Elephas maximus indicus: one gene and its partners. The protein of the gene in region 1 purifies or fractionates together with the protein of each later gene. This does not show direct contact. Links are inferred from orthologs where the notes say so. Each region holds a gene or a part of one and is shown in the gene's direction. Other genes may lie near its edges.

Region 1 (3,746 bases):
GCAACAGGTTCCTCCATGGCTCAAGTCAATCGGCCTGGGTCCTGCGCCTCTTGGCCGGCCTGATGACATGGATGTTGACTGTGCCAGGGCTGAGGTCAGGCAGCAGGCCCGGGCACATCTTCCGCCCCACGGCCCAGGTCCACAGTGCTGTCTCCGCGGGCTGCCGGGTCCGTGGCCCAGAGGCACTGGCTGGGAAGGAGCAGAGGGAGTCTGGGCCCATAAATGCTAGCCACCCCTGCCCTCTGGACACTCCCACCGGAGCCCTGGACGCCCTCCTGCCCACCGATGTCCCCTCACCTTGGCTCAAAGCCTTGGCATGATCCTGCATCTGGCCCAGGTACAGCCGGTAGTGCTGGAGGATGTACTGCTGGGCAGGCAGGCCAGACACCCTGGCCACCGCCTCATGGGACATGAAGTCTGCTGCCTCAGGAGCTCCAGCTGCCAGGACTGCTATAGGCAGTGAAACGGAAGGTAGTACTCTGGCCCCACAACTCAGTGGACAACACCGCCTCCAGGACAGACCAGGCCAGGTGGGTTCCCATTCCACCCGAGAACTTCGCTGGGTGGATAGAGAGAACACTACACCCACCCAAGTGCTTCCTCACCTGAGGCTGTGGCGGCGCCCACACTGCGGCGGGCACACAGCTCTGTGACGGCCGTCAGCACATCGGGCAGGAGGCGGAAGGCAGCGGCTGAGCACCGCACCACGAGCTCCGGGGGATTGGCGGCTACCAGCTGCTGCAGGGGCGGCCGGAATCAGCCCCACTGGGGGTGGCCAGGCCAAGGGTGTTGGAGGCGGACTTGGCCAAAGGAAGCCCCGACCCCAGAAAGAGGTCCCGCCCCGCGAGGGCTCGCCCCAATGAAACTCCGCCCGAGGAAGCTCTGACTCGCGAAGAAGTGTCTCCCCAGGAAGAAGCTCCGCCCTCTCCTGGAGACCAACCCCACAGGGGAATCCTCACCGCAACCTTCCACGTCAGCAGCCGCTCCAGCTCGTCTCGCGTCACGTGCTTCTCCCCCGAACTCCACCCACTCCCGGCCACGAGCAACTCCTTATGATACCTGGGGAAGAGCAGCGACGGGGTCCAGGCCACGGGGAGCTGTCGCCTTTACCAGTACCCTCTCCCTCCGCCAAATTCCCTACCGCCGTACCACCGATCCAGGGCCTCCAGCCGGCCCTGGGAGCCCGCGTGCGCCCACACCACCTCCCCGTGATGCGCCAGGACGACCCAGCGACTCGGGTCCTCACAGCCCCACAGCCCGCGGGCGGCTGCTATATTCGCACTCCGGGGCGGGGCTTCACCGGCGGGGGCGGGTCCTCAGCTGGTCCGGGGGCGGGGTTCACGGGATGGGGCAGGCCCAAAGAAGGTATCTCACTGGGGAGGCTGAATGCAAAGACAGCTGCAGCCGTAGCCGGTTCCGTAGAGAGGCCTTAGAGGAGCAGGGTATGTGGGGGCGGGGCCCGGCCTTCGGGAAGGAGGGCTCAAGAGTGGGGGGCGGAGAGAGGCTAGGGGGTGCACGGGCATCGCCTTTACGCCGGCGCTCCCGGCTAACCCCGCCCCGTCGCCGAAGCCGGGCAGGCGCACGCGCGGGCCCGCCCACCTCACGTGCCCATCCGCTGGCTCCGCCTCGCGCAGCCGGAAGTTCCGGTGGCCGATCACTGGACCCGGCCTGAGCGGATCGCGGGCTCCGGCTACGGGCACGGGGTGGGCCGGGCGCGGAGCCTGGGAGCGAAGCCCAGGCTGTGCCGCGCGGCGCTATGAAGGGCAGGGAGGAGAAGGAGGGTGGCACGCGGCTGGGCGCTGGCGGTGGAAGCCCGGAGAAGAGCCTCAGCGCGCAAGAGCTCAAGGAGCAGGGCAACCGGCTCTTCGTGGGCCGCAAGTACCCGGAGGCGGCGGCCTGCTACGGCCGCGCAATCGTGAGTGCGCCCTGGTCTGGGAGGGGGCAGGGCCCCATCTTTCAGCCCCGCGTCCAACCGCCCCCCAGCCCCTACCCGGCAGCCCCGCCGGTCCTTCGGTAGGAAGGTTTTGGCTCGGTCTCAGGGAAGTCACAGGCTGAGGACTCGGTGATAATCTTGTTCCTAAGGGGCCAAGGCCACGGCTGTGGACCCAGCGCCAGTTGCTGGACAAGTATGGTGGGTGGGGTGAACGGTTCAGGTTTGTTTGAGTTGGCTTGGTTGAGTACAGGTATCTTTGTGCATCGAGGACCGCAAACCCAAAGTGTGGGTCTCCACAGGTCTGGGACTTACCTTTGCAAAATCAATTAGAGTTGAGGTTTGGGTTCTGAGCCAGGCACGTGGGCCAGGACTCCAGCTCAGCAAGTCTTGGGACCCAGGGACTCCTGAGAAGCTTATAGTTTGATTCCAGCCTTGGGCCCCAAAGCTCGAACATGACCTGGGAGAGGGCCCAGGCTGAGCTCATGCCCTCAGACCCTCACACTGGCTGGTCTGGCCTTGGTCCCCAGACCCGGAACCCTCTGGTAGCTGTGTACTACACCAACCGGGCACTGTGCTACTTGAAGATGCAGCAGCATGAGCAGGCACTGGCTGACTGCCGGCGTGCTCTGGAGCTGGACGGGCAGTCAGTAAAGGCACATTTCTTCCTGGGGCAGTGCCAGCTTGAGATGGAGAGCTATGATGAGGCCATCGCCAATCTGCAGCGAGGTGGGCTGGCGGCATGGGGGGGGGCAGGGGTGGCTTGGCCTCAGACTGCCAACGAGTGACCCAAAGCCCCCATTCCCCAGCCTACAACCTGGCCAAGGAGCAGCGGCTCAACTTTGGTGATGACATCCCCAGTGCTCTGCGCATTGCCAAGAAGAAGCGCTGGAACAGCATTGAGGAGCGGCGCATCCACCAGGAGAACGAGCTGCATTCCTACCTCACACGGCTCATCCTGGCACAGCGGGAGAGGTGGGCTGTGGCCGAAGCAGACTCTGCCCCACTAAGTCACGTAGTCTTAGGTTAAGTCAAAAATATTTATTGGAGAAGCAGGAGATGGGAGGCCTGATCATTGGCCCTGAGATTGGGTGGGGCCTGACCTCTCCTGGCTAGACCTATCTGACCAGCTCCTGGTCGGCCCCCAGGGAGCTGGAAGATTGTCAGCGGAACCACGAAGGTGACAAGGACGATGGCCACGTCCGGGCCCAGCAGGCCTGCATTGAGGCCAAGCATGTGAGAATACCCCCAGCCCCAAGTGGATCTATCTGCGTGCATGGTGGGGCAGGGGGATGGTGCCTAATTGCTTGTTTCTTTGCAGGACAAATATCTGGCAGACATGGATGAAATCTTCTCCCAGGTGGACGAGAAGAGAAAGGTGAGGCCAATCTGTCCCCTGGGGCTTGTGGTGGGGGTCCCTGTCATGGCCCCTGATCCCTCCCTGTGTGCTGCAGAGGCGAGATATCCCTGACTACCTGTGTGGCAAGATTAGCTTCGAGCTGATGCGTGAGCCATGCATCACGCCGAGTGGCATCACCTATGACCGCAAAGATATTGAGGAGCACCTGCAGGTGAGGCTGCGGCCAGCAGGGACAGGTACTGCCCAGCCCCAGGCCCCTGAGCACCCTCTGACCCTGCTGTCCCTGCAGCGTGTGGGCCACTTTGACCCTGTGACGCGGAGCCCACTGACCCAGGAACAGCTCATCCCCAACCTGGCCATGAAGGAGGTCATCGACGCATTCATCTCCGAGAATGGCTGGGTAGAGGACTACTAAGGCTGCCAGTGCAGGGCCTGTGTCCCCAGCCCTTGTACATA
Region 2 (3,746 bases), on another chromosome or scaffold:
GGAACCAACCTAACTGCTCATCAGCCGATGAATGGGTCAACAAACTGTGGTACATACACACAATGGAATACTATACTGCCATAAAGAATAATGACAAGTTCTCAAAATACATTATAACATGGATGACTCTGGAGGACATTATGCTGAGTGAATTAAACCAATCACAAAAGGGCAAATACTGTATCATCTCACTATTATAAAAAGAAAAGAATAGTTACACATACAGTAAGCAACATTCTTTGGTGGTTACCAGGGATGGGAGGGAAAAAGAGGGAGAATCACTTTCTAGATAGTTGATGCTTGTTAGTTTTGGTGATGGGTAAGGTAATACTGAATAAGGATGAAGTCAGCACAACTTGACCAAGGTAAATGATCACACAAAGAAATACACAAGAATAAGGGGTGATTTTGGTAAAAAGCCACAACATATAAAATTTTGCAACAACAGTAGTAACAACCAAAAAAATATGTGCATGGTTACATGTAGATGTGTGTACTTATATATGTATAGGTAAAAACAAAAAACACACCTCTAACCAGAAGGCTGGAGGTTCAAGTTCACCCAGAGATACCTTGGAAGAAAGGCCTAGTGTTCTAAGTCTGAAAGGCCATCCTTTGAGAACTCTGTGGAGCACAGTTCTACTCTGACACGCATGGGGTTAAGTTAGAATCTACTTAACAGCAACTGGTAAAAGTAGTAGAATAAATATCTTAAAAAAAAACCAAAGAAACCCACTGCCGTTGAGTCGATTCCAACTCACAGCGACCCTATAGGACAGAGTAGAGCTGCCCCTTTGAGCTTCCAAGGAGGACCTGGCGGATTCAAACTGCCAACCTCTTGGTTAAAAACTGTAGCGCCTAACCACTACACCACCAGGGTTTCCATAATAAATATCTTAGGATTATAATATGTTGATAACAAATTTAAAATGAGTGCATATTCGAATTCAAAAGTTTACTTCAGATAACGTGGCTACAGATTCAACCAGGAATGGACAGCTAGAAAAAAACTTCGTCCAAATGAATTTCTCTGGTATTTCATAACCCAGGGATTTAAAGTCTTCCATTTTAGGAAGCTCTTGAACAATCTCCTTGCTCTGATAATTCTAAATACTGTACAGTTCACACCTCTCACAAGACTCTGAACATGTGGGTTACTGACGAGACAGTGTGGCAATATTTTTCTTGTAATGTACCAAGTCTTGCCAAAGCAGTGAGCAGCATTATGACACCACGTTTTGTCACAGCTGGCTCCCTAACAGGATGGTGCCAGCCAATTCAGGCCTGGTCCTTTCTGTGTTTATTCCCACTTCTCCCAAATATTTGGAAACTGGTGTCTTGATTCACTGGTGTATTCATGTTTTATTACTGCAAGTCTTTTTCGTTTACCGGATTGATTCTTTGCGAGGAATAGACAAAGTATCATTGTGAATCACAGCGAATCTCTTTTCCATGCTGGTATGGGTGAAACTCTGGGAGATTCTCTCATTGACCCTGAGAGCTGTTGCTTCAGTGATACACTGTCTGCAAGCACTTCACAAGGTAAAGTCTGTTCTAGAAAGGGCTATTTGGGATATTTTTGGCATTAAGTAAGGGTAAAATTGCTCGTCTAGGTTCAGACTACAGAAAAGTTGTTTTTCAAAGTATATTTATTCTAATACTATCGTGTCTATATTTCAGTACTTTAATGCTTAGTTTTCTGCCCCAATGTTCACTTATAAAGAATATTCAAAACCTTTGGGAGGGGGGAACCTAATAAAATTATTTCTGTGCATGGTTCTTACTTCCTGAATTGTAGGCATTAAAGGCGCATGTATATCCTAAACCAGTCTTATTTGTTTTTATTTCCTGAGTTTGTATACATTTCCCAAAAATACTTAAGGAATTTTTGGAATTTTTGAAGAGTCACTTTCCCCCCATTAGTCTTTTATGCTAGATATTTCTCACAGGGCTTTCTATCCCTCTTCCAGCACTTTTATTCCTCTTAAACCTCTCTGAGTACTTTTCTGTTCTACTTTGAAATCTAGGTATTTGTGTGTACATTTATCTCGCTGAAGAATTGTAAGCACCCGGAGTGTAGGGACCAAGCTATATTCTTTCTTGTGTTTCTTAGGATACCTAGCATAGTGCCTACTCTGTTTTAAAAGCATAGATTGTGGGGACCTTGAAGAACATCCGTTCTAAGAACCTCATTTCACACTTGAAGTAAATGAGTTTCCTAAAAGGTTAAATGCTTATTGTGTGCTAAATAAGATATTACTTCTGCGAGGATATGAAAGATTCAAACAGCGACTTCATTTTTCAGCATTTCTTTCTTAGCCATTGCCAAGTTTAAGTTCTTCATTTCTACAGCTCCTTCTACTGGAGTTTCTTAGGACAGCTTCTTATGTTTTGTATTGTTTCATATTTATTTCTTTGTTTCTATTTGTTTTATTTTTTTTCTCTTCTCATAGGCCTCATGTAAAAATAGATTGTGTTAACTAGTGTGAGTCATGTTTTACACTATAAATGCTAAGGCATTAATGTTAAGTCACCTAATTGTTTAAATGGACGCTTCTATTTTAAGCTTTTGATCTTTATGAAAGCCTAGAACTTTAACATATTAATCACAAATTTTAAAAGCATCATTTTTTTTAATTAAGAAAAAATATTTCCTGAAATACTGTTTCAGTTTATTATAATCCTTTGACTCAATGTATATTTCTATCTTGCTGATTTCTATCTTTCTGAGCCTCTTATATAGGACTTTATTTTCATGATGCTGTGTAAAATGATGGTATTCTATTTTTTTTGCAAGCCATAAAAATTATTGCTACCTTTCTTCAGTTATTGATTTAGCCTGCATTAGGGCAAAATGTCCTAGCTATTCCATGAAATAATAGTACTTGAATCAAAATGTGATAGTTTTCTCTGTTTGAAAAGAATATCTCTAGAGTGTAATGCAACAAACCTTTTAGGTTCTCTGGAGGCAAGTACAATAGAAGTCCTGTATATTGTAAGGACGGTTATGTGATTCAAATTGGTTTTCTTTCTGTGCTAATCTCTTACTTTTAGTGCCTTGAATTTTCCCTGTTTAATCTCCTCCAAAAGAAGAACCCAGTACTTTTCTTCTTTAAAAAAAGCTATTGTGATAAAATATATATTATAACCAAAAAATGGCTGTTATAATCATTTTAAGTGTGCAATTCAGTGACATTAATTACATTCACCATGTTGTGCGTGGTCATCACTATCTATTTCCAAAAGTTTTTCATCACCCCAAAAAGAAATTCAGTATCCCTTAAGCAATGACTTCCCATTCTCCCCTCCTTCCAACCCCAATAGCCACTGATCTACTTTTGTGTCTGTGCATTTGCCTGTTATTTTGCCAAATACGTGCCTTATATCTTATATAAGTAGACTCACACTTCTCCTTTTGTGTCTAACTTATTTCATTCAGCATAACGTTTTCAGGGTTCATCCATGTCATAGTGTATGTCTGAACTTCGTTTCTCTTATAGCCGAGTAACATTGCATTGTATGTGCGTACCACATTCGGTTTATCCATTCCTCTGCTGATGGTCACTTGGGTGGTTTCCACCTTTCGGCGATCATGAATAGTGCTGTAATGAACCTTCTTGTACAAGTATCTGTTTGAGTCCCTGCTTTCAAGACTTTTAGGTATATATCTAGGAGTGAAATTGCTGGGCCATAGTACTTTTCTTTTATTAGCAATTACAACACATTTTGTACCAGTAATTTAGTCT
Region 3 (3,746 bases), on another chromosome or scaffold:
TATATTCTCCCTAATATTAAAACACTAAAGAAAAAACATGTTCACTACTTCAAGGCCTTTCTTCCACAGAGCCGCTGGCGAGTTTAAATCGTGGATCTTTGGGTTAGCAGCCTTGGCACCGCCGGGGCTCCCTCTTTGAAGGTTTTTACTTTCATGTGCCTCCAGGCGGGCCGACTCCAAGCAACCCTACGGGACAGAGCAGACCTGCCCGCAGGTCGCCAAGGGCCCCTGGCGGAGTCCAGCTGCAGATCTCTGCGTTGACAGCCCAGCTCTTAACCACACGGCACCCAGCATCTCAGGAGACATCTCATTAGAACACGGCTACACTGGCGGGTGGGGTGTCAGCGAGTGGATAAAGCGGACGGACCCCCGACCTGGCGACCCCCCACCAGCCTGGGCCAGGCGTCTGGCTGCGCGGCGCCCACGGAGCGGCCGAAGGGGTTGGCAGAGCCGGACCCGAGCGGTGACCCGCGGCTCGGAGCACCTGCCTGCTGCGCAGGCGCGACCGGGCCTCCCCAGGCGGGCGGGGGTGGGGGCGGAGCGAGGCGGGGCCTGAAGTCGGAGGCTCCGCGGTCCCGCCCCCGCCAGGCCTCGTCGGGTGGGGCGGGGCGGGGCGGGGGCGGGGCCAGACCTGCGGCTCTACAGGCCTGCGTGGGCGGGGCCTCGCCGGGAGGGGCGGGGCGGAGCGAAGTCTCAAGGAGCGGTTCTGTGGGTCCTTCCTGCCAGGCGGACCTCACGGGGCGGGGCTACCCACGGGGGGGGCGGGGCGCGGCCTGACGAAGCGGGCCCTGACGGGCTGGGCGCGGAGGAGGCGGGTCCTGACGCCCCAGTTCGTAGGACTACCGGAAGGGGCGGGGCGCGGAGGGAGCGTGGAGGGGGCGGGGCCGGATGTTACAGTTCGTGGGACTACCGGAAGGGGCGAGGCGAGGAGGGGGCGGGGCCGGACGCGGAGTTCAGGGTGTCTGCCCGGAGGGGCGGGGCCGGGAGGGGGCGGGGCCGGACGCGGAGCTCAGGGTGTCTCCCCGGAGGGGCGGGGCCGGGAGGGGGCGGGGCCCGACGCGGAGCTCCGCGGGCCTGCCCGGAAGGGCGGGGCGAGGAGGGGGCGGGGCCGGACGCGGAGCTCCGCCGGTCTGCCCGGAGGGGCGGGGCTGGGAGGGGCGGGGCCGGACGCGGGGCTCAGGGGGACTGGCCCCCAGGCTCGGAGGACCGAGAGACCGGCAGGTTGGCCCGCGGGCTGCCTTCCCGAGCCACGGAGGCCAGAATGGGCCGGAAGGTGACCGTGGCCACGTGTGCGCTCAACCAGTGGGCCCTGGACTTCGAGGGCAATTTGCAAAGGATTTTAAAGAGTGAGTCTGGAGGCTGCGCTGGCGGGGCGGACGTCCAGTGTGCGGCCCCGCTCCCCGCGACCCCCCAGCTCCTTGCCCCGGAGGCACCTGGGGCAACCCCAGATAAGAGTGGATAATGGCCAGGCCTGTGGTGGGACACGTGGTTTGTGAGGCTTGAGAGAGAGGAGCGTGGGGGAGGGAAGCCAGCTGGGGGGCGGGGCACGCACCTGTCCTCCAGCATCCGTGCAGCCCAGGTGGCACAGCTGGGGCTGAGCTGCCCATACTCGGGGGTGTGTTAGCGGAGGGGCGGCCAACTGCTGGCCGGGGTGTTTGCAGAAGAGACCTGCAGTGGGCAGCCTGTGGCCTGCGAGGACCTTTCTGGTGGGTGGGCACTGGGAGAGATCCGCCCAAACAGGGAAGGCAGACTAAGGGGGTGAGCCTGCGAGCTTAAAAACTCTGTGGGCTTTGTGGGGTGACAGTTGCACTTTGTGAGTGAAAGGTTGCACGCTTGTATCTCAGCTAGCCTGCCCTGGCACACCTGCAGATGTGAGCCACCCTGGTTGTCTCGTACAGAGCTGCTTACTCCCAGAGGGCTGGCCAAGAGCGGGTAAAACAGAATTTGAGCAATAACGTCTTGTCAGCCATTTCCCTTGAACTTTTTTTTTTTTTTTTAATCAACCTGCTTTCATTTCATCAGAGGCAGAGCAAGTCTGGTTGGGGTGAAGGGAGGCGAGCTCAGGTGGCCAGAACTGATTTTGAGGCAGCTTGGCCCTCCACCTTAGAGAAGCTGCTGCCCACATCCACCAAGCGGTAGTGCCTGCAGGGGTCCCACTGCTGGGCTGGAAGCCTTGGGACCCCCAATCAGCACCTTCGAGTTCTGCACTCATTCTGCTGCAGGTGTTCAGTGTCTACATGTTAATAAACCACCAGGGTGTGTCCTCTTCTCCCCTTCCTCCTCCTCCTTTGGTGCTAAGGGTCAGCCCGGAGACCTGACCCCGTTTCTCATTTTGGTCAGGTGTGAGCTGGTCTGGGAGGTGCTGTCCTTTGCTGCCAGGCTGCCAGGAGGAGGGCTGGCTGCATGGGGTCAGGGAGCTCACGGGGCTTTTTAAATTTCATTCATTTTTATTATTATCATTTTTTAAAATTGTGACTGCTGCAGCAGGAGTCCCTGGGTGTTGCAAATGGTTAAGTGCTCGATTATTAACTGAAAGGTTGGTGGAGGAACTGAGTTACTGGGGCTTAGTGCTGGGGACCATGGTCTCGGGGGATATTTAGGTCAATTGGCATAACATGGTCCATAAACAAAATGTTCTGTACCCTACTTTGGTAAGCAGCATCTGGGGCCTTAAAAGCTGTGAGTTTGAAAACAATACATTTATTGATCCCATCATGTTTGGAGCAAAGAAGAATGAAGAAAACCAAAGACACAAGGAAAATATTAGTCCAAAGGACTAATGGACCACGTAAACCACAACCTCCACCAGCCTGAGCCCAGAACTAGATGGTGCCCAGCCACCACCACTGACCACTCTGACAGGGTTCACAATAGAGAGTCCCGGACAGAGCAGAAAAAAGTGTAGAACATAATTCGAATTCACAAAAAAAGACCAGACTTACTGCTCTGACAGAGACTGGAGGAAACCCCGAGACTGTGGCCCCCAGGTGCCTGGCTAACTCAGAACTGAAGCCACTCCCGAAGTCCAACTTTCAGCCAAAGATTAGACAGGCCTATAAAACACACAACAACACATGGGAGGAACGTCCTTCTTAGTTCAACCAAATATATGAGATCAAATGGCCAGCACCTGCCCAAAAGCAAAGGTGAGAAGGCAGGAAGGGGCAGGAAAACAGGCGAATGGCCACAGGGATCCTGGGGTAGAGAGGGGGGAGTGCTCACACCTTGTGGGGATCGCGAGCAATGTCACAAAACAACTCGTGTATAAATTTTTAAATGAGAAACTAATTTGTGCTGTAAACTTTCACCTAAACAGAATAAAAAAAAAAAGTTCAAATCCACCCAGAGGTGCTTCGGAAGAAAGGCCTGGAAATCTCCCAAAAGGTCACAGCCTTGAAGACTCTATGGAGCAGTTCTACTCTGCACACATGGGGTCACCGTGAGTTGGAGTCAGTAGCACTAACAACAACAAACCACAACAGGGTGTTAGATTACCTTTGGATATGTTGTAGGTGCTGAAATTGCCCCTCTTTCTTCCTCTGTGCATGTAGGTATTGAAATTGCCAAAAACAAAGGAGCAAGGTACAGGCTTGGACCAGAACTGGAAATATGGTGAGAGCTGACCTCACAGATACCCTGGGATGAGCTGGGTGTGCAGTCCGGGGGTGGGCAGGTGGCAGTGGCTGTGTCTGCTGGAAGCGCCCTGGGCCAGGTTGAGAGCTGGGGTATGCCAGATCCGCGGAAGA

The links.
Region 2: the proteins of STUB1 (region 1) and PPARG purify together in Homo sapiens (affinity purification with western blotting; 3 studies listed by BioGRID). This does not show direct contact. The link is inferred for Elephas maximus indicus from reciprocal best matches to the Homo sapiens genes STUB1 and PPARG.
Region 3: the proteins of STUB1 (region 1) and NADSYN1 purify together in Homo sapiens (co-immunoprecipitation; 3 studies listed by BioGRID and IntAct, with this or other methods). This does not show direct contact. The link is inferred for Elephas maximus indicus from reciprocal best matches to the Homo sapiens genes STUB1 and NADSYN1.

The regions. Positions count from the first base shown.
Region 1 is NC_064830.1:57,894,711-57,898,456, forward strand, and holds the start of STUB1 (E3 ubiquitin-protein ligase CHIP), read left to right. Parts: upstream 1-1,622; 5' UTR 1,623-1,756; coding exon 1,757-1,915; intron 1,916-2,460; coding exon 2,461-2,659; intron 2,660-2,739; coding exon 2,740-2,905; intron 2,906-3,078; coding exon 3,079-3,166; intron 3,167-3,251; coding exon 3,252-3,308; intron 3,309-3,384; coding exon 3,385-3,501; intron 3,502-3,579; coding exon 3,580-3,705; 3' UTR 3,706-3,746. Other genes in the region: uncharacterized protein LOC126086948, read right to left, coding at 26-210, 298-450, 606-738, 960-1,059, 1,375-1,523. UniProt on the Homo sapiens protein: E3 ubiquitin-protein ligase which targets misfolded chaperone substrates towards proteasomal degradation.
Region 2 is NC_064838.1:37,503,139-37,506,884, forward strand, and holds the start of PPARG (peroxisome proliferator-activated receptor gamma), read left to right. Parts: upstream 1-945; 5' UTR 946-1,460; coding exon 1,461-1,542; intron 1,543-3,746. UniProt on the Homo sapiens protein: Nuclear receptor that binds peroxisome proliferators such as hypolipidemic drugs and fatty acids.
Region 3 is NC_064825.1:134,274,480-134,278,225, forward strand, and holds the start of NADSYN1 (glutamine-dependent NAD(+) synthetase), read left to right. Parts: upstream 1-1,166; 5' UTR 1,167-1,261; coding exon 1,262-1,346; intron 1,347-3,551; coding exon 3,552-3,612; exon of another isoform or gene 3,613-3,746. UniProt on the Homo sapiens protein: Catalyzes the final step of the nicotinamide adenine dinucleotide (NAD) de novo synthesis pathway, the ATP-dependent amidation of deamido-NAD using L-glutamine as a nitrogen source.